Danio rerio: one gene and its partners. The protein of the gene in region 1 binds, or shares a complex with, the protein of each later gene. Links are inferred from orthologs where the notes say so. Each region holds a gene or a part of one and is shown in the gene's direction. Other genes may lie near its edges. The genes, in order: srrm1, cwc27, snrpd1, rbmx2, ppil2, rnf113a and snrnp200.

What was found.
Region 2: srrm1 (region 1) and cwc27 share a complex: the UniProt entries of both Homo sapiens proteins name them as parts of the minor spliceosome. The link is inferred for Danio rerio from reciprocal best matches to the Homo sapiens genes SRRM1 and CWC27.
Region 3: srrm1 (region 1) and snrpd1 share a complex: the UniProt entries of both Homo sapiens proteins name them as parts of the minor spliceosome. The link is inferred for Danio rerio from reciprocal best matches to the Homo sapiens genes SRRM1 and SNRPD1.
Region 4: srrm1 (region 1) and rbmx2 share a complex: the UniProt entries of both Homo sapiens proteins name them as parts of the minor spliceosome. The link is inferred for Danio rerio from reciprocal best matches to the Homo sapiens genes SRRM1 and RBMX2.
Region 5: srrm1 (region 1) and ppil2 share a complex: the UniProt entries of both Homo sapiens proteins name them as parts of the minor spliceosome. The link is inferred for Danio rerio from reciprocal best matches to the Homo sapiens genes SRRM1 and PPIL2.
Region 6: srrm1 (region 1) and rnf113a share a complex: the UniProt entries of both Homo sapiens proteins name them as parts of the minor spliceosome. The link is inferred for Danio rerio from reciprocal best matches to the Homo sapiens genes SRRM1 and RNF113A.
Region 7: srrm1 (region 1) and snrnp200 share a complex: the UniProt entries of both Homo sapiens proteins name them as parts of the minor spliceosome. The link is inferred for Danio rerio from reciprocal best matches to the Homo sapiens genes SRRM1 and SNRNP200.

The regions. Positions count from the first base shown.
Region 1 is NC_133192.1:26,833,738-26,837,245, forward strand, and holds the end of srrm1 (serine/arginine repetitive matrix protein 1), read left to right. Parts: intron 1-1,817; coding exon 1,818-1,928; 3' UTR 1,929-2,629; downstream 2,630-3,508. UniProt on the Homo sapiens protein: Part of pre- and post-splicing multiprotein mRNP complexes. As a component of the minor spliceosome, involved in the splicing of U12-type introns in pre-mRNAs. Involved in numerous pre-mRNA processing events.
Region 2 is NC_133185.1:12,108,265-12,112,771, forward strand, and holds part of cwc27 (spliceosome-associated protein CWC27 homolog), read left to right. Parts: intron 1-857; coding exon 858-958; intron 959-4,507. UniProt on the Homo sapiens protein: As part of the spliceosome, plays a role in pre-mRNA splicing. Probable inactive PPIase with no peptidyl-prolyl cis-trans isomerase activity. As a component of the minor spliceosome, involved in the splicing of U12-type introns in pre-mRNAs.
Region 3 is NC_133194.1:2,232,484-2,237,700, forward strand, and holds the start of snrpd1 (small nuclear ribonucleoprotein Sm D1), read left to right. Parts: upstream 1-1,774; 5' UTR 1,775-1,918; coding exon 1,919-1,932; intron 1,933-2,522; coding exon 2,523-2,599; intron 2,600-5,217. Other genes in the region: lipid scramblase CLPTM1L, read right to left, coding at 1-79. UniProt on the Homo sapiens protein: Plays a role in pre-mRNA splicing as a core component of the spliceosomal U1, U2, U4 and U5 small nuclear ribonucleoproteins (snRNPs), the building blocks of the spliceosome.
Region 4 is NC_133196.1:41,949,819-41,953,945, forward strand, and holds the end of rbmx2 (RNA-binding motif protein, X-linked 2), read left to right. Parts: intron 1-2,175; coding exon 2,176-3,044; 3' UTR 3,045-3,141; downstream 3,142-4,127. UniProt on the Homo sapiens protein: Involved in pre-mRNA splicing as component of the activated spliceosome. As a component of the minor spliceosome, involved in the splicing of U12-type introns in pre-mRNAs.
Region 5 is NC_133180.1:13,658,612-13,662,396, forward strand, and holds part of ppil2 (RING-type E3 ubiquitin-protein ligase PPIL2), read left to right. Parts: intron 1-828; coding exon 829-891; intron 892-976; coding exon 977-1,119; intron 1,120-3,785. UniProt on the Homo sapiens protein: Has a ubiquitin-protein ligase activity acting as an E3 ubiquitin protein ligase or as an ubiquitin-ubiquitin ligase promoting elongation of ubiquitin chains on substrates.
Region 6 is NC_133178.1:30,712,647-30,716,839, reverse strand, and holds the start of rnf113a (E3 ubiquitin-protein ligase RNF113A), read left to right. Parts: upstream 1-1,393; 5' UTR 1,394-1,395; coding exon 1,396-1,501; intron 1,502-1,645; coding exon 1,646-1,722; intron 1,723-1,806; coding exon 1,807-1,905; intron 1,906-2,100; coding exon 2,101-2,208; intron 2,209-3,043; coding exon 3,044-3,153; intron 3,154-4,193. Other genes in the region: snrnp70 (U1 small nuclear ribonucleoprotein 70 kDa), read right to left, coding at 63-209. UniProt on the Homo sapiens protein: Required for pre-mRNA splicing as component of the spliceosome. As a component of the minor spliceosome, involved in the splicing of U12-type introns in pre-mRNAs. E3 ubiquitin-protein ligase that catalyzes the transfer of ubiquitin onto target proteins.
Region 7 is NC_133183.1:33,110,000-33,114,506, reverse strand, and holds part of snrnp200 (U5 small nuclear ribonucleoprotein 200 kDa helicase), read left to right. Parts: intron 1-25; coding exon 26-103; intron 104-226; coding exon 227-400; intron 401-959; coding exon 960-1,097; intron 1,098-1,198; coding exon 1,199-1,354; intron 1,355-1,927; coding exon 1,928-2,098; intron 2,099-2,188; coding exon 2,189-2,382; intron 2,383-2,504; coding exon 2,505-2,628; intron 2,629-2,742; coding exon 2,743-2,892; intron 2,893-3,618; coding exon 3,619-3,729; intron 3,730-3,819; coding exon 3,820-3,951; intron 3,952-4,023; coding exon 4,024-4,212; intron 4,213-4,507. UniProt on the Homo sapiens protein: Catalyzes the ATP-dependent unwinding of U4/U6 RNA duplices, an essential step in the assembly of a catalytically active spliceosome. Plays a role in pre-mRNA splicing as a core component of precatalytic, catalytic and postcatalytic spliceosomal complexes.

The DNA.
Region 1 (3,508 bases):
TTCTAGTCTTCATATTACAATATCCTTCTGGAAAAAAAATGTTGATTTTTGTTGCTGAATATATATATATATATATATATATATATATATATATATATATATATATATATATATATATATATATATATATATATATATTCATCCCTTCTATGATTCTATTTCTATTAGGGCTGGGCGATAAATAGATTTTATTGGGTAACTCGAGTGTGAAGTAAGTTCACATTGATTTGTTTGAATGAAAATTGTTTTTTTTACCTCTGGGCTCCTGTAGTTTCCCCCGCATTGCCATAGAAACACACAAACAACATGCAGCAAGCAGAAGAGAACTCGGAGAAATTATGCGATCTTTGAAATGAAACGAAAAACAGCACAGGTGCACAAACACGCCTGGCAAAAAAAACGCATTTAACCGTGAGACACAGAAGTTGGTAACTGTGTGCCACACATTGTATTCTCACAATGAAAAGTAGCATTAATGGATAAGACGATTAAAAGAAAAGATGCGCATATGAAAGGAATTGTTACCTATAGATATATACAATGTAAATATCTATGACTGTTACCCATCTAATGTTGGAATCCAACGTTGCTGTTTTCGGATAAATGATGTGACCCAGCTGTAAAGATGTTCATTACTGTAAATATCAACACTGTCAGACTTGCTCAGTGCACTAGGCTAGAGTAATCTTTCAGGTGCCAGCCATTTGAGTACACTGAACTCATTGTCATGTTCAAGAAAGCAGTCTGAGATGGTTCGTGCTTTGACATGGCGTGTTATCCTGCTGGAAGTAGCCATACAAAGATGGGTACACTGTGGTCATAAAGGAATGTACATGGTTAGCAACAATACTCGGGTAGGCTGTGGCGTTAACACCATGCTCAATTGGTACCAATGGGCATAAAGTGTGCCTAGAAATTATCCCCCGCACCATTATACCACGACCACGAGCCTGATCCATTGATACAAGGCAAGATAAATCTATGGTTTCATGTTGTTGACACCAATGTCTGACACTATCATCTGACTGTTGCAGCAGAAATCAAGACTCTTCAGACCAGGCAACATTTCTCTAATCTTTTATTGTCCAATTTTGGTGAAACTCTGCGAATTGTAGCCTCAGTTTCCTGTTCTTAGCTGACAGGACACCCGGTGTGGTCTTCTGCTGCTGTAGCCCATCTGCCTCAAGGTTCGATGTGTTCAGAGATGCTCTTCTGCATACATCGGTTGTACCGAGTGGTTATTTGAGTTACTGTTGCCTTTCAGCTGGAACCAGTCTGGCCATTCTCCTCTGACCTGTGGCATCAACAATTCATTTGCGCTCACAGAACTGCCGCTCAGTGGAACCATAGAGGTGGTTGTGTGTGAAAATCCCAGTAGATCAGCAGTTTCTGAAAAACTCAGACTAGCCCATCTGGCACCAACAACCATGGCATTTTCAAAGGCACTTAAATCTTCTTTCTTCCCCATTCTGATGCACAGTTTTAACTGCAGCAGATTGTCTTGACCATGTCAACACGCCTAAATGCATTGAGTTGCTGCCATGTCATTGGCTGATTAGAATTTTGCAATGAGTATTTGGATGTGTACCTAATAAAGTGGCTGGGGAGTGTATGTTAGTACTTTATGCATTTTTTTATGGGGGGGGGGGGGGGGGATTATTTAAATCGTAAATTTGAGTTTTTGTGAAAATCAGGGATTTTTTAAAATGGCCATATCACCCAGCCCTAATTTACGAGTTAGGTATTGTCTCTAATGTAAAATCTAAATATACTACTTATGTTTGAGTCAGACATAATTAATGCTACCTTTCTTGAAGGAATCAGAGAGTGAAGTAGAAGACAGTTTGGATGATCTGGAGAAGCACCTACGTGAGAAAGCTCTCCGCTCAATGAGGAAGGCCCAGATGTCTCCATCGTCTCAGTCCTGAGGGCATCTCTCCTGCACCCCACATTTCCCTTTTTCTCTTCCACTCTCTGCATTTTAAATGTTTGATGTTGGTTCAGCTTTAGAATGTACAAATTGTTAAAATTCACCCTAGACTTTTTTTTTTTTCATTTGTTTTGGAATTGTTTTTTTATTTTTATTTTGGCATGTTTATTGCTGAAGTGTTTTATGATATAGAAATGAGTGAGCAGCTGAAGTTTCTCCATCAGATTTTGACCCTTACCACTTAAATACTGTCAAGAAGAAATGTTCCAAACAAAACTTTTTTTAGTCCCCACACCCCTCACCTTCTGTGTTGCTTTTACAGTCATGATGAAAAAAAAATGAAAAGCTTATTTGCCGTTCTGAGTTAATAATGTACGAGTTAGCCTATAGATTCTCTCTTAACCTTCGCGGGACTTTTTTCGAGAGTTTTGTTTGCATGGACGGCAGACCCCAGCGTGTTTGTCCTCTTGTGTGCATGATCCATAAAGTAAAACTGCTCTCTCTGTTCATCTGAGCATTGTGGCAGTGCTTGAGAGCTCCACTGTACACATGAGAACAAATCCGAAGTCTGTTTTCATCTCTCTCTTTTTTTTTGTTGCTTATTTTTTGTAACCTAAGTTGTGTTTGACATTGTTGGACCCTGCAGAAATGTCTGACTTTGAAGAAAGTCACATTAAATTGAAAGAAAAATGTCTCAAATTCCTTTTTTAAGTTGCATTATTGTGCATATCTGCAGTTTGTTTTGTTTCACTTTCAATGATCATGAATGTAAATGACAGACTCGTCCAGCATGCTAACAATGTGGACAGCATTACATTTAGGATGCAAAAAAACTGTTTTGCATATGTTTGCTAGTCCCTTTTTACTGGGTTCTTTGGAAAGCCTGTAGTGTCCCAGGTCTGGTAATGACACATGATAATCAAGTGCTGTTCATGTTGTTGTTTTTTCCCTTTTAGCACCATGTGAAATCTTCACTAGCCACAGATGAAAGCTCAGTGAGTTTGTAAAGGTGTAATGCGGTTAATAATGGCTGATCTGGAAAATCAGCCTAAGGCAGCAATGTTTTGCCTTGGTTGTTATTTTATAATGCCACCTGCTTCTGGCTGCAGGCATCTGTGGGAATACATGGGTGGTAAACATGCAGTCTGTCTTTATACTGTCCCTAGAGGTCAGGCTAAGTGCTGGAAAGCTTTGTTTCTGGATCAGCTGTGCATTGTGCTGGAAGATCTTTGGTAATAACAAAGACTATCTTTAAGGAGTTCACCCTTTACATCCGTTGTATGTGATACAAGACATCAAAATATATTTCATGTGGAGTGTTTTGGGCTGAACTAATACTGGAACACTTGATTCTTCCCCCGATTGTGGTGTTTTTGCATAAAAATGTAAACAACCAAATTATCCTTTGTTTGAGCAATGTAGTTTTGGTTTCATCGGGTAGGATGATAATTTCTAAAAGAAAATAATTTGGCTTTTGTATTCTGCTTTTATAACCACTGTATAGTTGGTTTTAATTACAGTAAGTTTATTTAAATGGTAAGTAATCATGTCTAAATATATTTATATTTTGACCTTAAA
Region 2 (4,507 bases), on another chromosome or scaffold:
TTCGATTCACAGAATTCTTTTATTCTCAATGCAATACAAGAGTTACATTTCAGGGGTGTGCAACAAATTTAATTTGCTGATTCACTCTTTTATTCGTTGCTGATATTAACAGGTGGAGTTTAGTGGAATTTGTCACTTGTCAATCATTCTCCAGTCCTCCACTGGCTGCACTCTTACTTACGTACACTTTTTCGATGAATTCTTTGCACAACATCAAAAGCATAAGACTCAACTGCAAATATTCAGTCTCACAGAAAGTTTCGCTGCTGAGCTAAAGTTAATCTTAGACAATCAGCTTCATCTACTTCTGCAAAAATGCTTCATCATTAGTATGCAAAACATATCACACCCAACCATAGAAGTTGTTAATATATCACCTTTAAGCAATAGAAATACAAATGATTAATGAAAAGAAAAAGAGGCAAAAATAATTAAAAAAAAATATTTCTTTTCACAACAGTAGGATGGTATTTTTTTTTTTAAAGTAAACTTTGGGTCATGGCTTAAAGACCATTTTAAAATAGGTTACACAAATTGAGAACCACATTTTAGGAGCCGTTTGTCGCAGACATTTTGAAATTTCAGTTTGTGCCTGAAAATGTTTGGTCTTTTTTTCTAGCCTGTTTGAGATTTGGTCATTTTCCATGTCACATTAACTTATGTTTAATTTATGATTTCGAATGATTTATCTCAAATAGCAGGAAAAGTATCTTCAATTGCTACGATTAAAAAAGTGTTCTACATGTTTTTCCTTCCGTAACGTGTTTTTCCCTTCTGCGTTTTGCAAGACTTATTGAGAAAGCGCTCCTTCCAAGACTGGAAATTAATTCCAGCTCTTGCTTGAATGTCTTTCACAGTGATGAATTGCGAAAAGAAGCTCGCCAGCTGAAGAAAGAATTACTTGCAATCAAACAGCGAAAAGAAGACGGTGTGAAGAAAGAAGAGGACGTCAGCGAGGGTGAGTGTCTGTGCCACAAAACCACAGCTGTTTGTCTTTTTTGTCTTTCTGTTGACAGAATTTGAAAAAGCTCTTTAGAAATTACCCGCGTTCTTTGAAACTGTCATGTTTATACCGATTTAACAGCAAGAAACATGATTTATTTCTCACACATGGCGTGTTGAAAGCATTTCAACCTCTCTCAAAATCAAGTCAGCATCCAAACAGCTTGTTTTTCTACATTAAGCCTTGTTTTTTTATGTCTAATATATCTGAAGCCGTTTTGTAGATGTGTTTTGAAGACCTGATTGAATGTTGGCTGTGAAGGAGCACTTGGATAACACGTTTGGCATTGTTGTTTAGTTGACATGCCTAGTTAATTGCTTACCTTTTGTTAGCGTTTTCCAAAGAGCAGTGTAACTTTTTTTTCATCATTCAGTCATCAAGTCAAGTCTGGGTCAGGTTTGTGATATTCTATTGTTTGCAAAGTCAAGTCTTTCTGTGGTCTGACTGCACTCAAATTCTAATGTTTAGAATAACCATCGAAATGTCTTTTTCACTCCTCTTATCTATTTATTTCACAAATTTAATATGTTGTGTTCAAATCAGCTATAGAAAATAGCTTTTTGAAGGTTATTTTTATTACCAAATATGACTATCCAAGACTTAAAGAGCTCCTTTTATGGGTTTTTGAAAATGATCTTTAATGCAGTGTGTAACAGCATGAAGTGAATGAAAACGTCAAGCTGAGGTTTAAATCTGAAAGTGCACCATGTTTAAAACAATTGATTCTTTTACAAAATAGGTGACTCGAATGAATGAATAGAGTTATGCTTGAATAGAGTTATGCTTGAATGCATCGGCGTCAATACGGTACATCACCAAATAGATAGTTCCAGATCTGGTAAAATGTAAACGCGCTTTCCATTCAGACATAAGCAGAGTGCTGAGGATCACAGGACTGATCATGATGGGAAGATGATGATCACTGACAGATGGAGATTCGCCTGCAGGCAATTTCACAACAACACCAGAGTATAGGCAACCTAGTGCCGTGTTTGTTCCTTTTTCTGATTTTTGATACAATAACCTACAATTCAACGTGGGATTTGCCAGTCGTTTGCTATTAAAGGAAGGAGCAGCAGAGGCTATTATGTGTGGGATTTTGTCAGACAGGAACTTTGTTAACAGTAGACAGATGTTGGTGTGTCACTGCATTGTTTTAATGCATTTCTGCATTGGGCTCTCACGTTCTCTGTGTGCTACTTAGCCGTGTACTTACACATCTGTTACTCATAGTCGTGGTGGGCATTTCTCTCCATCTTGTGCTGAATGCAGTCAACCAATCACAACAGTCTGGGTCATCGGATCAATCAGGACAGATTAGCTTTGTGCTAAGAAGAGGTTTAGGAACAAATGAATCACTGAACGAATTATATGGGAATTTTTGGGATAATTAGGTAAAAATAAATGCATTTGTAAGTGTTTTTTGACCTTGCATGCATATTAGCCTGTTGTTGGAGACCTCCAAAACCAAAACATGACCTTTTATAATGCAAAATAGAGGTTCTTTAAATAATTGGGTTACTACACTGATAAAATGACAACAAAAAAGTAAAGTTTATTCTATGTAATTAAGACTCATCTAAAAATATTTAATTATAATGTTCACTCTACATTTTACAGCACAAATTAGATCTTTTAAACAAGAAATTAAAGATGTATAGCTTTTGGGAAGGTATTTCTCACATATAAATATGTTTTGGGTCCATGAAATCTAAAACTGCTGGTATACCAGGCATCTTAATTATCATTTTATAAGATCTTAAATTTAAAGATGGTTAAACAGAAATTGCTAAGCAGCTTACTGATGTTAATGAACTTCAGAAGGCTATGGTTTTAGTAATTATAAAAATGTAAATGCTGCACACTACACTGTTGTATGTTGTAAAGCATCAAAGCAGTTGCAATGAATTGTTAGCAAAGTTTTTTTTTATAATATACTTTTGTTCACTTGAATCCCACATATTTTGAATGAACAGTCACAAATTGTTAAGCATAGTTATTTTAAAATAATATAGTCCTTATTTGTCAAACTGTACGTCTCAAGCTGTCTAAGTTCTGCATCAATGATGAAGATGGTTCTTCATCATTGAAGAGCAAGCACTATTAAAGACTCTTAAAGGCCCATGAAACCGCGCTGTCTCAACAGTTTTCACACCTCTAGTTTGAAAAAATTCAGGAAAGTCGGTGAGTCTAGGTCTAGCTTTGTTTAGGTGGTCTAGCTTTGTTTCATTCTTACTTTTTACTTTTTTTAAAAGTTTGGCACTTTCACTTTAATTCAGCAACATTTCATTCATGTCTCCATGACACACAAGATATTGGATGCGAGGAACTGCAGGAAAAGTGTAGTTTTAATGGAATTTGATACCGCATGCCGCATGGGAGAACAAAACCTTCCAGATTTCTTGGTAGATGCAGAGAATAGCGTCAAACAGCCGTGTGTGTGTATAGTAGGGCTGTGCAATTAATCAAAAATCCGATTTCGATTTTATTTTCTAACGATTATGAAAAAGCATTAATCGAGATAAACGATTGCATCATATACCGCCCCTTTTCCAGTTGTACACATTTGTTGCTCTTAAAAGTGCGAAAGACCGCATACTTCTGTTTGTGTGTGGCACGTACACACAGTCAGAAGCATGTGGTCAGGATTTGGTCTCATTCGCACACAGACGAGCAGAGCGCACACATCTAAAGTCATCTCAATGTGAGCAATTTAATAGTCAAATAGGTGTCAAAACGTGGTGTTTAGTGATTATACATATTAACCCTCATTTATGTAATAAACAAACGAATTGAGAATCAAAAGACACAATAAAGAGAAACCTTTAAAGTGACAGTGCACAATGTTCCTGCTGCCACCTGTTTTTATCATTATTAATCAAACAACAAAAGGAGAAAATCCCTCTCTGCTCTTGACTAAAAGACTTTTGTAGTTAAAGTGTTTTTCTAACGGTGAAGACGCTTAAAGCACAGTTTGTTTCATATTTAATAAATTAATGATGAAAACTCAAAGACGTCACATTATACCAACCGGTACAGGCATCCAGTTTCCAAGCTGAAATTTACACAATGATCGCTTGGCTGTGACGTTGCCTAAAAAAGTATTTTTAAACTGGAGGAACGAGTTTGCTTAAAAAAACACTTTTTAGTAAAATATATGTGCCCTAGTAGTGTTTTTAGCAATGTGGGACGCATATATGACTGTCAACATCTCAAGAAATGTGTTTTGGTGTTTCGTGACCCTTTAAGAGGGTTTCATGTGACTGCTGAAAAAGTTTTCTCTCACGCATCCTGGCTCTTGGGTTGTGCTGTACTTCCTGTGACTGCATACTTGAGATTTGCGCAGACAAACCTTTGACCTTTGTGGAGCTTTTGCAATGGCCCTGTTGTATATCACTGTCTTCACACTGTGTGTTCTCAGGGGGCAAAGGTGTGTCCCCTCACCCTGGTCATTTTCAGTGTTTTCAACGTTCGGCCAGGAATGTGCTGTTTACAGTTGGCAGC
Region 3 (5,217 bases), on another chromosome or scaffold:
ACATCACCCAGCATGTGTGCAGCACATACAGCAGGAACACCCCCACTATCAGGCTGGTGAACGAGGTCTTCGGAAACATCTTAACTGCACGCAGATCCCGCCGACAATAATAACATGCTCAATGACATGCTGGAGATGAAGAAAAGGACGAGGAAGAGGATGAGCTGTCACTCACTAACACACGTCACTCCAAATACACACCGCGACATCGCTCACAACATCGCTCTCCCGCGGTCTGAAGCGCTGCTTTATGCTAGTTTAATCATTTATTCGGTATAAACCCTCGGGGATTTCTCATGATGAAAAGCGAGGGTTTGATTTCTGTGTTTTAATCCCTCGATCCACTTTTGACGTGATATTTCAATGAGCGCTCACTTCCGGGATTCACTTCCTGCCGCGGGGTTGCCAGATTCGTTAAATTAAATCTTTTGCTACGTGAAAAAAGTGTCTGAATTTAAAGCTGTATTATACTTATATTATCTCGAAACCCAATTAAAGCTTAAATATGACTATTATTGCTGTTTCTGTTAATTAAAGTATGTTTTTATTAATTTATTTACCTTTACTTGAGATATCGCCACGGGGTTGCCAGATATTTTAAAATTGAATCCACAACTGTGCATGAATGTTATTTTTAATAGAGAAAATATAATTACAAAGACAGAAGAAACTTTATATTATATTATAGTATATTATTTATTCATTATCTAAAATAAATAGTATTTTAGAGATTCACTGTAGTATAAAAAATACGTAAAAATTGTTTAAATTTAAAGTTGTATTATACTTTTATTATCTTAAAACGCATCTAAAACTTTAAATTTGATTATTATTGCTGTTTTGGTTAATTAAAAGTATGTTTATATTAACCTATTTACCTTTACCGTGAGATATTGTCACTGTAGGGTTGCCAGATACGTTAAAAATAAATCTATTCCTGTGGTTGTTAAATGCAGCTTTTTTTTTAAACTGGGAAAATATAAATAGAGTAAAGACAGAATAAAGCTTTCATTATATTATAGTATCTTATTTATTCATTATCTACAATAAACAGTATTTTGGAGCTTCACTTTGATATGAAAATGACACTACATGAAAAATTGTCTAAATTTAAAGCTGTATTATACTTTTATTATCTTAAAACACAAGTAAAGCCTTAAATATGGGTATTATTGCTGTTTTGGTTTAATAAAAGTGTGTTTTTATTAACCTATTTACTGTATCGTCACTGTGGGGTTGCCAGATACGTTAAAACTAAATCTATTCCGGTGGATGTTGAATGCTATTTTTTTGAATTAAGAAAATATAATTACAAAGAAAAAAACAGAATAAAGTTAATATTTTATTATAGTATATTTTTATTCATAGTCTAAAATAAATCATATTTTGTAGCTGCGCTGTGATATGGAAAAGATTTAAACATTTATGAAAAAAAAGTGTCAAAATTTAAATCTGTATTATACTTTTATTATCTTAAAACGCAATTGAAGCCTTAAATATGATTAATATTGCTGTTTTGGTTTTTTAAAAGAATGCTTTAAGGAAACTATTTACTGTGAGATTAAATTATTGTTGTTTTGGTTAATTAAAAGTGTATTTTTATTAACCTATGTACCATGAGATATCGAAATTGAAAAATACTTTTAAGCTATTATCATAATAAAAATTGTTGTAGCAACATTTAAAATTTTAAATTCGCTTTTGTATGTTTATAACATGCTTATAAATGAAATTACCAGCGTGTAAAAATATTCCGGTGATTTTGTTGAGTAATGGCAACCCTTCTGTCCTCAGAATTCTGTTTCCCTTTCACCCAGGAAGTGATTGTACCATCTCTCCAGTAGCGTCCTACATTCGTTTTGCGCTACAATTTTTTCTCATCTAGGTGGAGGATTTTCTCTCAAAGTCCACCGCCATCATGAAACTCGTCAGGTAATAAACATCTACAGCTGTCATACAAGTAAAATACACAAAGAAACTTTGCGGATGCGCGATGTATTTTAATAGATGGAGCCGGATTGTGTGTAGCTGCTAGTTAGCCGTTAGCTTCATCAGGCGGGAATGAATGAATGGGCGAGCGTTTGTTTGAACGTTTTACTCATTTGTTTTAAGCACATACGTGTTTTAAACTATGTAATAAGCGGGTTTAGTCTTAGATTATTAATACATTGTGCGTTTTTTGGTGGTAGTTTGATCATGCGGGGTCTTAAATGCAACAAATACATAAACAGAAACAATAACTGTTAATGCTAAGTTAGCTACATTTATTTACTAGTTTCTAAATATGCTAGCTGTATATAATCATATAATTATGTTAATAGACACTATAGTGTGTAGTTAGGAAGTCTAAAGATTATTGGATATATAGTTTATCATTTGTTTTAAATATAGTTATCAGTTTATTATCATTAGTAAGCTGTAAATACTTTATATAATCATATTGACAAAATGCTTTATATGTAGATATTAGACGTTATGTTATTATAATTGTTTATCATTGTTTTTATGATTGTGACCTGCAGGTTTTTGATGAAATTGAGCCATGAAACCGTCACGATTGAGCTGAAGAATGGCACACAGGTCCATGGCACAATTACAGGTAATTATTATTTTAAGTAATGCACCATAATCACATTTATAAACTGTCTGCTATGTGCCTGTTTCATTAAATGAGGTCATATTATGCATTTTCTCTTTGAATCTGATGCATTACATCTCATAGGTGGCCAATAAATGTGCTTATATTGAGGTGAAGTTGGTTTTATATTAGCAGGTTTAGACTTTGGCGTTCTATGAAATAGCAAAGCAGTATTTAAAAAGGTGAATACAGATTCATTATTTTTTACCACGCTGCTTTGAATATTTGATCTGAAATCACATATAAGAATGACTTCAAAACAATATTAGACCGTAAACAATATTGTGCTTTATAGTCATTTGGTGATAATATGATTCCCCTATTTAGTATTTGCAAATAATACTTTTCTGAAATTATATTAAGTCTGAATGTGTGAATATAAAAACAACTTTACCTCAATTACATCTGTCAGCTCCCGGAAAAAATGCATTTAACCTTTTAGCTGAAAATGACTTGACTTAATTGGATTGTTATGCAATACTGTGCACCTTTTATAAAGCTGCTTTGAAACACTAGTCATTGTAAAAAGCGCTATACAAATAAACTTGAATTAAAAAGACTCATTGTATATGCCCTATATTGTGCTAATAATAATAATTAGAAAACTTGTTATACTTTGTTGATGAATTAATGCCACTGAGTCAGACTCGTATTATAATAATCATGTGAGCAGAAAAACAATAGATCATGGTATTGTGTGAAAATTTACATCTTTACTTGTGGAGATTTTCAATTTTTAGACCAGTGATTCCCAAAGTGGGAGTCGGGACCTCCTGGGAGGTCGTGAGTCCTTGAGGGGGGGTTGCTTGGTGATTTCCAATATATACATATAAATAAATTATTAAAATTACCATATTTTATCCATAACCTGCAGAAGATAGTGTTTAATAGTTACATTTAAAACAAAAACATGTACATAAACAGACAGCAGCGTTTACATTATTTTTCCATTGGATTACGACTCCTTGAGTGATTACGCTAGATTAATAACACAGCAATAGTGTTAGTTGCAGCAGATTTATTTTACGGCTCAATGTTAAACTTTGACACATTTACAGCACTCCTGTACATTAAAAATAAAGGCCACGACTGAACATAGAGGACGATCTCCAAGTGGCGGTCTCCGAAATTAAATCAAGAATAGACTTGTGCTGTATATATTTCACAATTCTCATTAAGTGAGGTTAATATTAAATTAAACAAATGAATAGTGACTATAAAATGATATGGTTGATAAACTGCTGCACTTTTGTTGTGTTGTCAATAAGCTTGTTTATATAGTTGCTATTGGTTTGTGTGTGTGCATTATTGTGTACAGTGTTTGTATGCTTATTACTAGGCCCACACTTATTTTGCGCGAGCTGAATTCCGCTGATGTTTAGCCCATCATTAATTCTGTTTATTTACTTGAGTAAATGTGTGTAAATCTATATTAATTCAGTTTTTACATTTATTTCAGTAATATTATTGACTAATATGAAAATGTTCGTCTGACTTATGTACAATGCAGTTTGTACCGTAATATTTTCTGTCTTTTAGTAGAGATATTATATGAGAGACTTGCTTTGTTTACCAAATAATGTGAATCTAATTGGATTAGCATTTTAAACATTAAATAAAAATTATATAAAGATATTTTTTTTTATGTCATATATTAAGGTTTTAGTTATGATACTCCCAAAATAATTCCGCAGATCTTTACCAAAACTCTCCGCAGAAATAGCAAAAAACGCCCGCAGATTCCATCTGGCCCTACTTATAACCACCTCAGAGGATAGTGGGGTTGTGAGTTACTAAAATTGTTATTTTGGGGGTCACGAGTTAAAAAGTTTGGGAACCCCTGATATAGATCATAGCAACTTTTCATTTCTTGCTAGTTGTAATACACAATGTAACTACAGAAGAATCAAGTGAGATGCTAATGGTCTAATCTGATTCAATGATTTATGCTAAGCTAAAAGTGCTCTCACCAGACCCAGAAATCAGCTAAACGGATTCATAAATGGGAAAACTCGCCTGTTTAACTCTCTAAGGAGTTGTAAAATGAGACTGTTTCTTTAAAAAAAGAAGTTGACTATTCCTTTTAAAATTGTTAAACACGCAATGGACCCTTTTCACAGGACTGTTATGATGCGTTTAATAGTCATCAGTAGAGCTGCACGATTCTGACTGTAATGAGAATTGCAATTTTTAAATTTTTATTTTTGCTTGAAATCAAAATCACGATTCTGTAGATCTAAAATAAAGGTTAATATTAGTGGGCTATTATTATTGTTATTTCTCAAATATATAGTAAAAAAAACTATATTAATATGTAGGTCTACTGTTTATTCTCATGCACAACACTGTTCGCTAAGAAAGAAAAAAGCATATCAAATGCTTGTAGTCTAATCATTACTCCATTATACCATATGATTATTCAAGTGTTGTGCACGCTTACAGGTTCATTTTCACTGCTAAGTGCGTTTCATACCTCCCGCGCGGCTCTCAAGCAATCACTGTTTCACAAACTTAACGTTATTTACAACTTTATTACCTTTTATTCACAGCCTATGCAGATTCTGTTCGCTAAAGTAGAC
Region 4 (4,127 bases), on another chromosome or scaffold:
CAGTTAAACACCTACAAATGTGGAGGAGCAGCGGCTCTACTCCAAGCTCCTCTCGGGTGAAAGAGCTCCTCACCTTATCTATAAGGGTGAGCCCTGCCACCCTGTGAAGAAAACTTATTTCGGCCGCTTGTATCCGAGATCTTATCCTTTTAGTCACGACCTAAATCTTATAAACATAGGTGAGAGTAGGAACATAGATTTACCGGTAAATCGAGAGCTTTGACTTTCGGCTCAGTTCCTCCTTTACCACAATGGACCGATACATCGAGCGCATTACTGTTGCCGCTGCACTGATCCGCCTGTCAATCTCACGTTCCATCCTTCCCTCACTTGTAAACAAAACCCTGAGATACTTAAACTCCTAAGGACTTTTCTCCACCCTGGAGATGGCAAACCACCTTTTTCCGGTGAAGCACAAAGGCCTCGGAATTGGAGGTGCTGATTCTTATCCCAGCCGAGTCACACTCGGCAGCAAACCGCCCCAGTGCATGCTGAAGGTTCATGTTCGATGAGGCCAACAGAACAACAACAACGTCTGCAAATAACTATAGTCCCTGAACCAGACCCCCTCCATTCCAAGACTGCGCTTTGACATTCTGTCCACTAAAATTATAAACAGAATTGTTTACATAACTAATACAACCTTTTTGTGTGATAAGTGTTACCAAAGCTGTAATACATAAATCTGCTTTGAATACATGAACACAGAGAAATTAGCACAATAAATTTTTTTGCTGGACTTGTCAGCTGCTTTTGACACTGTCAACCACCAGATCCTGCTATCTACGCTCGAGTCACTGGGCGTTGCGGGCACTGTTATACAATGGTTTAGATCTTACCTCTCTGACAGGTCATTCAGGGTGTCTTGGAGGGGAGAGGTGTCCAACCTACAGCATCTAAACACTGGGGTACCTCAAGGCTCTGTTCTTGGGCCACTTATGTTCTCCATCTACACATCATCTCTAGGACCAGTCATCCAGAGACATGGATTCTCCTACCACTGCTATGCTGATGATACCCAGCTATACCTCTCTTTTCATTCTGATGATCCCTCGGTTCCAGCTCGCATTTCAGCCTGCCTGTTGGATATTTCACACTGGATGAAAGATCATCATCTTCAGCTGAACCTCGCAAAAACGGAAATGCTTGTAGTTTCTGCCAACTCGACTCTTCACCATAACTTTTCAATCCAGATGGATTACTGCATCCAAAATGGTGAAAAGCCTTGGAGTAATGATTGATGACCAACTAAACTTCTCTGACCACATTTCTAGAACTGCTCGATCGTGCAGATTCGCACTCTATAACATCAGAAAGATCCGACCCTTCTTATCTGAACATGCAGCTCAACTCCTTGTTCAAGCTCTTGTTCTCTCCAAACTGGATTACTGCAACTCTCTACTAGCCGGGCTTCCAGCTAACTCTATCAAGCCTCTTCAACTGCTCCAGAATGCAGCAGCACGAGTTGTCTTCAATGAACCTAAACGAGCACATGTCACTCCGCTGCTAGTCCGTTTGCACTGGCTGCCAGTTGCTGCTCGCATCAAATTCAAAGCTCTGATGTTTGCCTACAAAGTGACTTCTGGCCTTGCTCCTTCTTATCTGTTCTCACTTCTGCAGATCTATGTGCCCTCCAGAAACTTGCATTCTGTGAATGAACGTCGCCTCGTGGTTCCATCCCAAATAGGGAAGAAATCACTTTCGCTTACGCTCAATCTGCCCAGTTGGTGGAATGAACTCCCTAACTGCATCAGAACAGCAGAGTCACTCGCTACTTTCAAGAAACAACTAAAAACTCAACTATTTAGTCTCCACTTCACTTCCTAATCTGCAATTGCCTCTCTGAATATCACACTAACTGTACCAAAAAAAAAAAATACTAATACTACTAATACTTCCCTTCTTAGACTTTACAGACCTGAAACTTGCCTATAGCACTTATTCATTGTTGCTCTTAGTTGTGTAAATTTTTTCCCCTCTCCTCATTTGTAAGTCGCTTTGGATAAAAGCGTCTGCTAAATGTAAATGTAAATGTCAATAAATGTGTCTGGAATATGTAACTACTCATGAAATATAAGCATTAATCTGATAATACATAAGTCTGACAAATGATTAGTATTTTAAGTGTCACAAGAGATACAAATGTATTGATAAACATTGTTTGTTATGCTTCAGATAAAAAGGAGAAGAAGAAAAAGAAGAAGGAGAAGAAAGAGAAGAAAAAGGCTCTGAAGGAGGAGAAACGTGAGGGGCGCTCTGAAAGCTCTGCATCTTCTCCTATCAGAGTAAAGAAGGAGAAGGAGGATGTGGCGTATGAGAAATACAGCGTGAAAGGACCTGCGGCTAATAGAAGAGACAGAGCAGATGAGCAGGAGCAGTTAAAAGAGAAGGAAAGAGAGAGAGAAGAGGGCAAGAAGACAGACAGAAGACATGCAGAAACACAGCAGAGAGAAAGAGACAGAGAAGGAGAGAGAGAGGGGGACAAAGAACGAGAGAGAGACAGAGGAAGACAGAGAGACGGGGAAAGACAACGAGAGAGAGATGGAGGAAGACAGAGAGATGGGGAAAGAGACCGAGAACGAGAGAGGGACGGAGGAAGACAGAGAGATGGGGAAAGACAACGAGAGAGAGATGGAGGAAGACAGAGAGATGGGGAAAGAGACAGAGAACGAGAGAGAGACGGAGGAAGACAGAGAGATGGGGATAGAGACCGAGAACAAGAGAGAGACGGAGGAAGACAGAGAGATGTGGAAAGAGACCGAGAACGAGAGAGAGACGGAGGAAGACAGAGAGATGGGGATAGAGACCAAGAACAAGAGAGAGACGGAGGAAGACAGAGAGATGTGGAGAAAGTCAAAGAACGAGAGAGAGATGGAGGAAGACAGAGAGATGGGGAGAGAGACAGAGAACGAGAGAGAGACGGAGGAAGACAGAGAGATGAGGAGAGAGTCCGACAACGAGAGAGAGACAGGGACAGAGAGAGAGACAGAGGTAATGGCAAACACAGAGATCACAGTCGTGAAAGAGAACACAGGCGAAACTGATCAAACTCAGTAGTTTACATTTTCTTTTGATGTAAAAAATATTCATGTTTTTATTGTATTGTACTACAAAAATGTAAATAAATGTTTCACACTTTTTTTAAGTCTTTCTGGAATAATTGACTAATGGCCACTCAATGTTAAATTACACACATTTTATTTGACTAATAAATAGATTTCATTTTAAGTTAGCACAAATACTGTAACAAGAATAAAATAGAATAAATGTCCTGATGAACTCCAAAGTCAAGGTGATGCGAAGAATTCCTGTCAATTGTAAACCTGAAATCATTTGTAAAATAAAATTAACTATTAAAAGACATTGAATGTAGGCGACGCAGTGGCACAGTAGGTAGTGCTGCAAGAAGGTCGCTGATTCGAGACTCGGCTGGGTCAGTTGGCGTTCCTATGTGAAGTTTGCATGTTCTCCGAACGTTCATGTGGGTTTCCTACGGCTGCTCCGGTTTCCCCCAGTCCAAAAACATGTGGTACAGATGAATTGGGTAGTCTAAATGTCTCCCAGAGATGGGTTGCAGCTGTAAGGGCATCCGCTGCGTAAAACATATGCTGGATAAGTTGGCGGTTTATTTCGCTTTGGCGACCCCAGATTAATACTAGTACACCCAGTGGTTGAACTAGGTATTACATTCCTGGATCAAAACAAGCGCAGGTTGCCAGATTGAGGACCAACAGGAGCGAGCCTGACTATCGAGCCTAAAGGCTGATTTAAATCGTGTTCTAAATAAAAGCAACGGCACGTCTTTGAAGGAATATTTTCCACATAGTTTTTGTTCTAATCAACATCTTGAATTGATATATTTGAAACGGTTTCTATTAGGGCTGCACGATTAATTGAAAAAAGGTCACAATCTCGATTTGACCTTACACGATCTTAATTCAGCTTTTCTACGATTCAGCCAATTATTTATTCAAGGTCAGGAGAGAAGCATAAAGGCAGTCAGACAAGTCTTCACAGCAATGTGGACACCTACAAATGGCTATGAAAGAGATGCATATTGTATTTATAAGGTATAGTTCACCCAAAAATGTAATTTCTGTCTTAATGTAATGATGTATTCACGACCG
Region 5 (3,785 bases), on another chromosome or scaffold:
CTATAAATGAAAATAGCAGTTATACTAACAAACAGAAACAAACATAAGTATTTCTAACAAAATGTCTGGTGCATTAAGACAGGAGGAGTGTATCCTTCAGGTGGTTTGTCTAGCCCACTCATCTGCATAAAGTACACTCATGCATACTCTCATTCTATTGTAATAATCAAGGAACTTTGCAGCTGTACTTTTGCTGCAGCAGGGTCAATGATATTGCACAGCGCCTGAAAACAGCGCCCAACAAGGTAACAGTGCTGTGTAATATCATTGTGCCTGCTGGAGCCATGGTACGGCATCAACGTTCCTTCATTATTATGCAGAGTATAGTTCTTAGCCATATCGGCCTAGAAAAATAGCAATTCTTCATTTACTGTCGGTCATAGTAATTACAGAAGAGCAAAGCTTAACAGGAAAATCATAGAAACTCCTTTTTTATATTTTTGACTGAGATGCTAATGGTCTAATCCTATTTAATGGTTTATGCTACGCTAAGCTAAAAGTGCTCCAGCCATCCCGGAGATTAGCTTTCTTGAATTTTTTGGGTTCAAAAATGTGAAACTCAACTGTTTACCTCTAGGAGAATTGTAAAATGAGTGTAGAAATTTAGTTTAAAGTCATCTACTTCTTCAAAAAGGCCTAAGACAAATTTGTTTTTCATTTTCATTTATTTGCATGATTTTATTTTGTTGTGCTTCATGTGAAAAACTTTATTTAATCTTGCAACATTTAGCTTGATATTTCAATGCTTTTTTTCTTAAAAGGTAACCGCATGCTAATAGGTAAAGACTGTTTTCTAAGCCTGACTCTGTTTCTCTTTTACATTGTCAGTCTGAGATTAAGATACTGAGCACTTCAGTTTTTGTGGACCCGTATGAAGAAGCAGATGCCCAGGTCAGCACTTTTATGCGTGTATGTTGTCATGTTGTATTTGATGTGTTTGCATGCTGCGCAGCCGATGTAACTGTGTGTGTGTTAGATTGCAGCGGAGCGAGAGAAGGAAGCTCAGAAAGTGGAGGAAGAGAGAGCACAAACTTCTGCTCTAGTCAACAAGGCAAAAACTGAGGAAAAGCCTAAAGCCTTCAGACCAGGAGTGGGAAAATACATCAACATGTCTGCTACGTGAGTTCACACATATTGGTTGTTGAATATGACAACATTGTAATAGTGCAAGACTTTATTGGGGTTGTTATTTACCAAGTTATTGCATTGATTAAATATTTGATCATTACTAAGGTACTATGAGTCACATTGCCAGAAGCTTTCCTGTGAGCACAGAACTGATTCACACTGAATACATGAAGTCTCGACATTTATTTTGGTAATTCTTATTTTGGTAATCCATCTTTATCAAAACAGTCTGATTATAAGCAATAGTGTTTCATTCTTTGACTTGAAAATATGAAAGTTATTTGTTGTTTATCAAAAAAGGTTATAGGATCATAGCAGTGCTATCAGATTGACTCAGAATCTAAAACATCACAGGACGAGAAATTATTAACCTGGAATTGGTTAAAAGATTCTTAAAAGCTGCAGCAGCGTCAGGAGATCTGTCGTCTGTCTTTTTAATGTTTGTGGCAAAACTACCGTCACTAAAAAGACAGACTTATTAAGAAAGATGGATGGATATAGGAATAGATAAATGATGGATGGATATATGGATAGATAAATAGATGGATGGATATACAAATTGATAAATGGATGGATGGATATAGGGATTGTTTAATCGATTGATAAATGGATAGATGTATAGATTGACAAAATGATAGATGCGCCTATGGATTGATAATTGGTTTAATGGATTGGTGGACGGATGGATGTATTTATTGATAAATAGATGGATGTATGTATGGATTTAGAAGTGGATGGATGGATGGATATAGAATGATAAATGGATGGATGATATGTGGAATATGGAATGTATGGATGGATGGATAATCCTATAGATAGATAGATTGATAAATGGATGGATATAGGGTTTGATAAATGGATGGATGTATACAGATTGATGGATTGATAAGTGGACGGATGGATGGATGAATGATATATGGGTTGATAAATGGATGGATGGATATACAGATTGATGGATGGATAGATGGATATATGGATTGATAAATGGATAGATAGGTGAATGGATATAGGGATTGATGAATGGGTAAATATAGGAATTAATGGACGGGTGGATATATAGTTTAACAAAATGATAGATGGATATGTACATTTATAAATGGTTTAATGGATTGGTGGATTGATGGATGGATTGATTTGTTGATAAATGGATGGATATGTAGATTGATAAGCAAATGGATGGACATATGGAATGAGAAATGGATTGATGATTATTTGGATTGATAAGTGGATGGATGGATATGTGGATTGATGGATGTATTGATTTATTGATAAATGGATGGATATGGATTGATAGATGGATGCATGGATAGATAGATAGATAGATAGATAGATAGATAGATAGATAGATAGATAGATAGATAGATAGATAGATAGATAGATAGATAGATAGATAGATAGATAGATAGATAGATAGATAGATAGATAGATAAACAGAAAGATATACGGATGGATAAACAGATGGATAAACAGATGAATAGATGTACAGACGGATATTTTGGTAAATACAGGTGGATGCATCTTTACAGTGTTGACCATATTTATGCTGGATTTAATTCTGGTAATGGCAAATAAGTGTTTGTGGGTGTCAGTGGTGAGGGTTTGTCCTGCACCACAGCAGGGCTCAGGATATGAGCATAGTTTACTGTGAGCAACAAGAGATCGTTCTAATTATCCCTCACAACCCCACTGATTTTCACACGCACACACACACTCATCCCCAACACACTGACTGACTGTTAAAGAGACGAGCGCACACATGCACAGTAATTTGAACACCTGCTGCTCACACCCAAGGTCTGGATCTCTCTCTCTCTCTCTCTCTCTCTCTCTCTCGCACACACAAACACACAGTCACTGCTACCTGATGGGAACAGATCCATCTCTCACATGCACACACTTCATTTGTTTTTATGGCAAAAAATACAATTTTTATATATTTTTTGGACTTATTGTTTATTTGCAAGCACAGGGTTTAATTAAATAAATGATCTGAAATTCTCAGCATAATTGAGTACACCTCCTTTTGAAAATGAATATTTTGGTGCATTTCTCGGTAAATATAACCAATATATTTGGTGCACTTAAACAAATCCTAATTAGTAAGCTGTTATATCCATTAAGAATTTGGTAATTAGGAATATAAATGTAATATATTTTAAAAAACTGAAAAAAAAACAAAGAATTTAAACACATTTAAATGTTTTTACGTTTCTATCGATTTTTCAACTTTATAAACAATTTGTATATTTTTCTCTAACTTATACTTTTTATTATATTAATTTTTAGACAGTGATCTTAAGTTATTTTTTTAGATTAGTTCTAGTTTTGGCTTTGGTACTGAATAATGTATATATGAGCAATATCACACAAGTAGCAGTCGATATACAGCCACATCACACTGCTACTTGTATGATATTGAGTTCATACAACAGTTCGACAGCATAATCGTGTGTATAAAAAAGAACATCAAACACGAAGACTCTAAAATCCCTTTTGTAAGAGGAACTACTTTCTTCTGCCATTCCTTAACATCTGCAGCTGACGTCAGAACAGCAGAAACCATTGCTCATCCACCAATGTCACTTTAGAGCTAGTGTTTGAATGATTCTCTAGCATAATGTATAAAGTGATGACAAAACAGGTGATTTTGCTCACAT
Region 6 (4,193 bases), on another chromosome or scaffold:
TCAATGTAACAAAGAAATCGATAAATAAACCGTTCTACATAAAATAACAAGTCAAAAAGCACCTCAAAATGCCGGATAAAAGGAGCAATTCCGCAGTAGGGCTGGTTGTGGTGTTTCTCGTGAGGAAGCTTTCCCAGTTGAGGCAGGAACGGTATGGGGTCCCGCGGGGCAAACAATGCCAACAGGTTCGGCGGAAGAAACTGAGTCATTGTTCACCTGGAAGAGAGAAAAAACACAAACGATAAAAAAAATAATCAACAATTAGGAGCACCTCATGCAAGTTAAGCAGTTACTGTGTGAAAATGGTAAATAAGACGTTATTTAAGATAAGGTGGATTTAAATAAGCAGACAAAATCATGCTAACAGATTCAAACTGAAAATTCAGCGTCTTCACATAGATCTGGATCAGTAAACAAACACCCCTTAAACGAGTCTCGTGAAGTTAGCTGCTAGCAGTCTTAGCTTTCTCGGTTAGCTTCGTGCAAACAAACACTTTTATTCTCCACATAATGATTAAACAAACTACAACTTCAGCATCAGATCACGTTAGTGTAGCATCAACAAAAAGAGACGCATCTAATAACTAATATCAGTGCACTCTTTAATACACAAAAATAAAGCAAAGCTCAGTCGTGGTTACGGTCAGCTCTGCTAATTCACCAACTCTCTCATGATGATCATATCCGAGATCGCCTACATTTCCACGGACGGCCTCCTGCAGTCAATTACCTCAGTTTTTCATTCGGCTCCAACGAAATCTCCGATTTTCGGGCCAAAATCCTCTTGCGTGTTTCTGTGGAAGACCTTCGTGCATGAATTTCTTTAATTCACTCGGTATTTTTGTGTGTATTTCGGTCCACACAATACCCAACGTGTGTTCTCACCCAGTTGAACGAGTCGTTCCTTTCTTAAAATGGCGCGAGGCCGTAAACCGCTGCGGTGTTTCACGACACATTTACGTCTAGTGGTACATTCACGATAGGGGCGTGGCCAGTGTGGAATTTGTACTGTAAAATATTATTTATTGTTATACAGTGTCACAAAACTTATGCTATGTTGATGTACGTATCCACAGTATCCTAACTAGACTTTACCTTTATAATGGGAAAAAATTCACTCTAAATCATAATTTTACTTTAAGTACACCATAAAATACCTTAAAACGTCTTTATCCTTAATTTTGCTCAATGCATGCATCCAAATATTGTCTGAATATTGCTAGTTACTGATTAATAATAATAGTAAAGATATGTACATTATCAATTGTTAAATGGGAATATATTCATATCAAATACAACAGCAGTAAACCATTCCCATTCTACGTTTCTTCCCAAACACAAGAGGCGCTGTAACCAAAAAATGACTTCATCGTTTGTTTTTATACGTAGTTAAAGATGGCGGAGTCCGAGGAGCCGAAAAAACCCACCTGCACATTTATTTTTAAGAAATCAAACAAGAAATTTTCCGCACGGAAAAGAAATGCAAGTGACAGCGACAAAGGTACGTTGTGCTTCTTTCTTCAGTGTCTCAATCGACAGCGAGTTTGACTTGAGAAACTATAATCCCTACAACAAGCCGTCTGTTTAATTAATGTTTATGCTCAATACATGTCTGCAGTTCAGTGTTTTGTTTCTTTATCATCAGAAAAAAGCAGCGGCGATGAGGGCAGTGCAGTGGTCAGAAAGAAGAAATCTGCCGCTGTGAACCCCATGATTCAGAAAGTATGTCCGTATTTCATGTGTTTTATGTAACTAGCCGCTGTTAAACTGATGTCATCATTATTATATTTATTATTCGTTTTATAGACGAAGAAAGTGGAGAGGGAAGCTGTCTCATCGAGTGAAAGTGAAGAAGAGAAGGAAGAAAAGAGCGTGACTGTCGCTTACAAGTCCACTCGCTCAGCGGTGAGTCTGACTGACCCAACATTTGTACAGCTTCATGATTTATGCTACAGCAAATTATGAATATAAACGCTTGATGGTGCCTAATAATTCATGACCACGTATGACTTTACATTTCTATTAACGTCTGACAGTTTTTGCGCTGTCTCATTGAAACATTAAAGGCTGTAATTGAGTGTATTTGACTATGTGTTGCAGAAACCAGAGGGGCCGGATGACATGGGGGCCACTGCTGTCTATGAGCTGGACACAGAGAGGGACAAAGATGCTCAGGCCATCTTTGAGCGCAGTCAGAAAATCCAAGAGGTATGCGGGTGATTGGAAATAACTGGCTGCATCATTGTAAAGTCAGGTTTATGTATGTTATGTACAGATTCAAAGTACCTTTACAGTTCTAGATTTAGATAACATTAAACTCAGCATTTTCAATTGTATTTACACATATTTCAAGTAGACAACAGCTCTACAGAAGGTGATATAGTAGCGTGTCATGTCATGTCAGTTCAGTTATTTAGATACCTCACTCAGTGCTTTCAAGCACAGCAGAATCAATTCATTTTAGAAAATAAATAGCCTTTATAATAGGCCTGGGCGATTTGGCCTCAAATCTAAATCTTGATTAACTAAACATTTTAACCCGATTACAACTAATGATTGATTATTTCATTTGTTTTTGCCCTCATAGTTAACTGACAGGTTTCGTAAAGTGAGAGATGTTTGAAAAGGGTGCATTACTTGATTTTAAAATAATTGAAGGAAACGCAAACTATCTACTATCTATGATTATTTATTGAACATCAGCGTTGAACAACTGAAATGAAAACACACATTGCCTAAAACCAACAGTCTTCTTTTTTTCGTTGCTCTCCGCGCTGCCCACTCTTGTCATCACTATCAAGCTGACCAACCGCAGAGCTTGCGCTACGTATCGTCAAGTAGTGACATTTTTTGAGAGGTGCGCGTCAGCCACGGCGAGGAGTATGCGATTGCTCAAAGTCTGCGCTCAATGCAGAAGAATAAACCAGCATCTAAGGAGCGGGGTCATTTCATGTCATGATATTTGATTGTTGATATTGTTAAGATGGCCAGAATATACACAATCTCTTAATCATATGGCTGCGTGTTTGTGTGTAATTTATAGGAGCTGACTGGTAAAGAAGATGATAAGATTTATCGTGGGATCAACAACTATCACAAATTCATTAAACCCAAAGATTCCACTATGGGCAATGCCTCCTCTGGCATGGTCAGGTGAGTCAGTGTTGTTACGAGTTTTTCTTTCTCTTGTTTCCTCTCCCTCTTTCCTGCACTCTCTCGGTCTGAATTATTTCCAGGTGCAGCGGATTACGGCAGATTGTGATTGGTGCTTGGATTGGCGGCTGTATTTAAGAGGCCTTTGTTTATCTTCTGAACACAAATGAAAATGTTTTAGATTAAATCTGACATCTCTCTCATCCTCCATGGACAGTGAGATTTCAAAGATGTTCAAAAGTCCAGAAACCAAAAACATTGCATGGGACTTTAGTGTTCTGATGTGTAATCATGTAGAGCTCCCAAAACACTTGTAAAAAACTGTAAATACATGAAAGAATACTTTATTTTTTGTATACATGACAGGTCAGGGTGCGCGTTTACTAGGCATGGGCCGGTATAAGATTCTGACGGTATGATAACCTTGGATAAAAATATCAGAGTTTCACAGTATTGTGATTACTGCTCAAAAATATTCTTTTAAAATGTCTGGGTAAAAAAAAAACTATTATTGTTCCCATTGAACACAATATATTTTATTTTAAGAAGCATATTTTGGAACAGTAAACATGACAGGCTAAAGAATTTATTGAAGACAGCAGAAGTCAATAGTTTCGAAAACACATATTTCTTTAAAAAAAAATGAAAAAGACATTCATCTTTCTCTTCTTTGGATATAAAGTAAGCCACAGCACTGTTCAGGTCCAGAGCATGCCTGGATGTTTTGGTGCTTAAGCATTTTGTTTTTCAGATGTTCCCTAAACCATGGGCTGACCAGTAGCTGTTGCCCTAAAAAAACTAAATAAAATAAAAAAACATGTTGTAAAAAACATGTTTAAACAATGTACATATACCACAGTGTAACAGAAAATGTTAGCGGTTTTAAAACCCTGACTTTTCCAAACCGCAGGAAACCTTGAAAGTCACATGGATTGTTTTTGGATCCTTTTCTGGACTTTGAACGTCTCTTGTCTATGGAGGATGAGGGTGCTCTCAGATTTCATGTAAAATATCTTTATTTGTGTTCCGAAAATCAAACA
Region 7 (4,507 bases), on another chromosome or scaffold:
TTTATGATGTTGTGTTTTCTTGCAGGAGGAGAGATCTCGCAGGGAGAGAATGAGAAAATCTCGTGTGGATGATCTGGAGTCTATGGACATTGATCATGGCGAGGTAGATCCCACTTAATGCTGTGTCCACCTCTTAAAATTAGAGTTAAATGTAATTTTTCTCAGTTTGATAACCACTCCTAATGTGCATTGTGACACTTTATTGTTCTGTGTTTTTTGTCTTTAGTCTGTGTCCTCAAGGCAGCTATTAGACCTGGAAGATCTGACCTTCACTCAAGGTAGTCACTTCATGGCCAACAAGCGCTGCCAGCTGCCTGACGGCTCCTTCCGCAAACAGAGAAAGGGCTATGAGGAGGTTCATGTGCCTGCACTCAAACCCAAACCCTTTGGTGATGAAGAGGTATTTATCTGCTAGTTTTTCTTTTCTTATTAGGGATAGGGATTTTTGGTTAATTTATTGCCACATCAAGTTGGCTAAGTAAAACAAAAAAGCTATTAAGCTTTCAAAAGCTATCAAAGATCATACTGAAATCTTGTGGAAACATTGCTATCTAAAACTGTATTCATATTTTAGCATTTAATTGTTATTCCTGTGATGGCAAAATGTAATTTCCAGAGCAAATGCTCCATTGTTTAGTATTGCATGATCTTTCAGAAATCTTTCTAATATGGTGAATATCCATATAACAAAATGGATGTGGTTTGTTTGTGTCGCAAGAAAGATTTATTTTCGCTGTTCTCTAATCACTATGCTTAAGTGAACACTATTGATTTGAAACAGAAATACTTTGTAACATCTTTGCTGTCAATTTTGATCATGTTAATGCTGTCTTGCTATATACATTTTTTTTTCCATTAAAAAAAATGTTATTGGCCATTTTGAACAGAAGTGTATACAACAGAGTTTAAATTGCTGGTTGATTGGCCAGTATTTCACTTTTCTCTTATTTCTTTCAAAGACATTGGTGGGTATTGAGAAACTGCCCAAGTATGCTCAAGCTGGATTTGAAGGATTTAAATCCTTGAATCGCATACAGAGTAAACTCTTCAAAACCACTATGGAGACTGATGAGAATCTTCTGGTTTGCGCTCCAACGGTTAGTCTACTGGAAAACAAAGATAAATGATATAATGTAGAACTTGCCAGTTTTATGTGCATTTTACTTAAAGATTTTTTGTCCCTCTCTATGACCTGTAGGGTGCTGGTAAAACTAATGTTGCTCTTATGGCTATGCTCAGAGAGATCGGAAAGCACATTAACATGGATGGCACCATCAATGTTGCAGATTTTAAGATCATTTACATCGCTCCTATGCGCTCACTGGTACAGGAGATGGTGGGCAGCTTTGGCAAGGTAGGAACACTGAACATAGAGGTAAAAACATCTTACATTTCTAGTAACACTTTAGAATAATGGTACATTAGTTAATGTATTTACTTACATTAAGTATGAATAAGCGTGTATAGCATTTTTAATCATATTTCAACGGTTACTAATGCATTATTAAATGATAAAGTTGTGCTTGTTGACCATAATGCACTGTAAGTTAACATGAACTAACATTATTTAACTTAATGTTAACTAACATTAACAAAATGAATAAAGACCGTAATAAATGTATTACTAATTGTTTGTTCTTGTTAGTAAAAACATTAACTAGCATGAACTAATGGACCGTTTCTTAAAAGTGTTACCAACTTGATTTCATCTCTCATAGTTCCTCAACTAAAAGCAAGTTTTATTTCTAGTGACTTCTTGTCATAATAACAGGAAAGATTTTAAGACAGATGAATTTACAGTTTTACAATTAGCCAGATAATGTTGTGAGGCCACATTAAGACATAGATTTAACATTAGCACTTTTATACTTGTTTAATGTTATAATAAATTATACAGTTCTAAAATATTGTTGCTTTACACCTGCAGCGCTTGGCTAGTTATGGCATCATTGTTTCCGAGCTGACCGGAGACCATCAGCTGTGCAAGGAGGAAATAAACGCCACTCAGATCATCGTGTGCACGCCAGAGAAATGGGACATCATTACAAGGAAAGGAGGAGAACGAACTTATACACAGCTTGTGCGCCTTATCATTATTGTAAGTAATCAAATCAAGGTTTCACTTTAACTTCTTTTCAGTGTTTCTCCGTATGTTTTGTGTTATATATAAACATGCGTTGCCTTACAGGATGAGATCCACTTGCTGCATGATGACCGCGGCCCAGTCCTGGAGTCACTGATTGCTCGAACCATCCGTAACGTGGAGCTGACGCAGGAAGACGTGAGGCTTATCGGCCTTAGCGCCACGCTGCCTAACTATGAGGATGTGGCAACCTGCCTTCGTGTGGATCCATCAAAGGGACTTTTTTACTTCGACAACAGGTGAGAAATGGACTGCTGTTGTGAGATTGTGAATGGTGGTCTTCAACAATTTTTGGTAAACACTGAATATGTTTTTACTATAATAATGAACATATGTTTGGCTTTTTTCTTTTGTTTTATAGTTTCCGACCTGTGCCTCTGGAACAAACCTATGTGGGAATTACAGAGAAAAAGGCCATCAAACGCTTTCAGATCATGAATGAAATCGTCTATGAGAAGATCATGGAGCATGCTGGAAAAAATCAGGTGTGAAGCTCAACACAATAACATGATTAGTCCTTTGTACTTCCATGTGTCCCATTAGTTTTTCAGTCATTAATATTGTCTTTTTTATTGTTTCATACATGTTGTTTCCCCCAGGTGTTGGTGTTTGTGCACTCGAGAAAGGAGACCGGGAAGACAGCTCGAGCAATCAGGGACATGTGTTTGGAGAAGGACACTCTGGGGTTATTCTTGAGGGAGGGTTCAGCCTCCACTGAGGTCCTGAGGACTGAGGCAGAGCAGTGCAAGGTTAGCTCATCATTTTAGGGTTTGTTCACACTTGGCAGAATTGATTTAATAGCAGTGAAATCTGGTGCGATTGTTAGTGTGGTAAATTGAACAAATGTAATAGTTGCCATCTGAACACTGCTATGCACCAAATAAATGGTTTGTCTAACTCTGGTGTGGTTAAACTGAAATATCAATGCAACAGACCAGAGACAAAAACAGACTATGATGTCACAGGATGTGACCAAAAAAGCAATCATAAAAAAAAAATCACATACAAGGAGTGCATTTAGCCAAGGATACAGCAATGTTTTGTTTTTAACAAGTTTTGACAGTAATAAAAATCTATTCAGCGAATCTTAAGAATTCAGAAATATTACTGATCTCACAACTATTGTTTTTTTTTTTTGGTCTGGACCAGACAAGCCAAGAAAAGTGAACTACAAGTGTGAATACAGATATTATTATGATATTATTTTTATTATTTGAGATATTAGTGGTTGAGTCATACAAATGAATTTTTTAGATCATTTACACCCACTTAAGTATTTACCATAATTTTTACACCAGGATCAAACATGCTTCTTGTCTGCTGTTGTTTAATAAACCAGCAATTCCATTGCAAACTCAGTGTGTTGATAAAGCTAATAGTATACCCATCAGTGAATACTAAAATGTAACTAATATTGGAGCAATTAATTGTCCTCTACACACATTATCAATTAATTAATTTTTTTATGGTTGCAGAACTTGGAGCTGAAGGATCTTCTGCCGTATGGTTTTGCTATTCACCATGCCGGAATGACCAGAGTGGACAGAACGCTGGTAGAAGATTTGTTTGCTGACCGTCACATTCAGGTTAGTTAGTAACCGTGAGGGAAAAAAAAATAAATAAATAAATTTATTTTGTTTTCTAAATCCTAAAACCCATGAATGTGTGTTTTGTAGGTGCTGGTCTCCACAGCCACTCTGGCCTGGGGTGTGAACTTACCAGCTCACACTGTCATAATCAAAGGCACACAGGTTTACAGCCCAGAGAAAGGCAGATGGACGGAGTTGGGAGCACTGGACATCCTACAGGTCAGTGTTTTTCATCAATCTTTTAAGAAGTTAATTGAACTGTGGGTAATAACTCTTGACTTTTTGGTGCAGATGTTGGGTCGTGCTGGCAGACCGCAATATGACTCTAAAGGAGAGGGTATTCTGATCACTTCTCATGGAGAGCTGCAGTATTACCTGTCCCTGCTCAATCAGCAGCTGCCCATCGAAAGCCAGATGGTGGGAAAACTAGCTGACATGCTGAATGCAGAGATTGTGTTGGGCAACGTGCAGAATGCCAAGGTGAGTTGTAAATGCATTTGGATTAGGGTTATGGTTAGTTTAATAGCAGGTGTTTTTTTATATAGGTTTAATTTAATTAGTTTTTTGGTGATATATCAAAGGCGGTTTTAAAAAAAAATTAACTGTCTACTTGTGGCACCCCCTTTATAAGATGTGGAATATATACATAGATTGTAATTTTACATATTGCTGTGAATAATAATCATTAAATAAAGATACCATTATGCCTAGTATTTTCCAATACTTCTGGGGGGAAAAAATGAATGTAATTTTTATATAACTTTTTAACTAATTT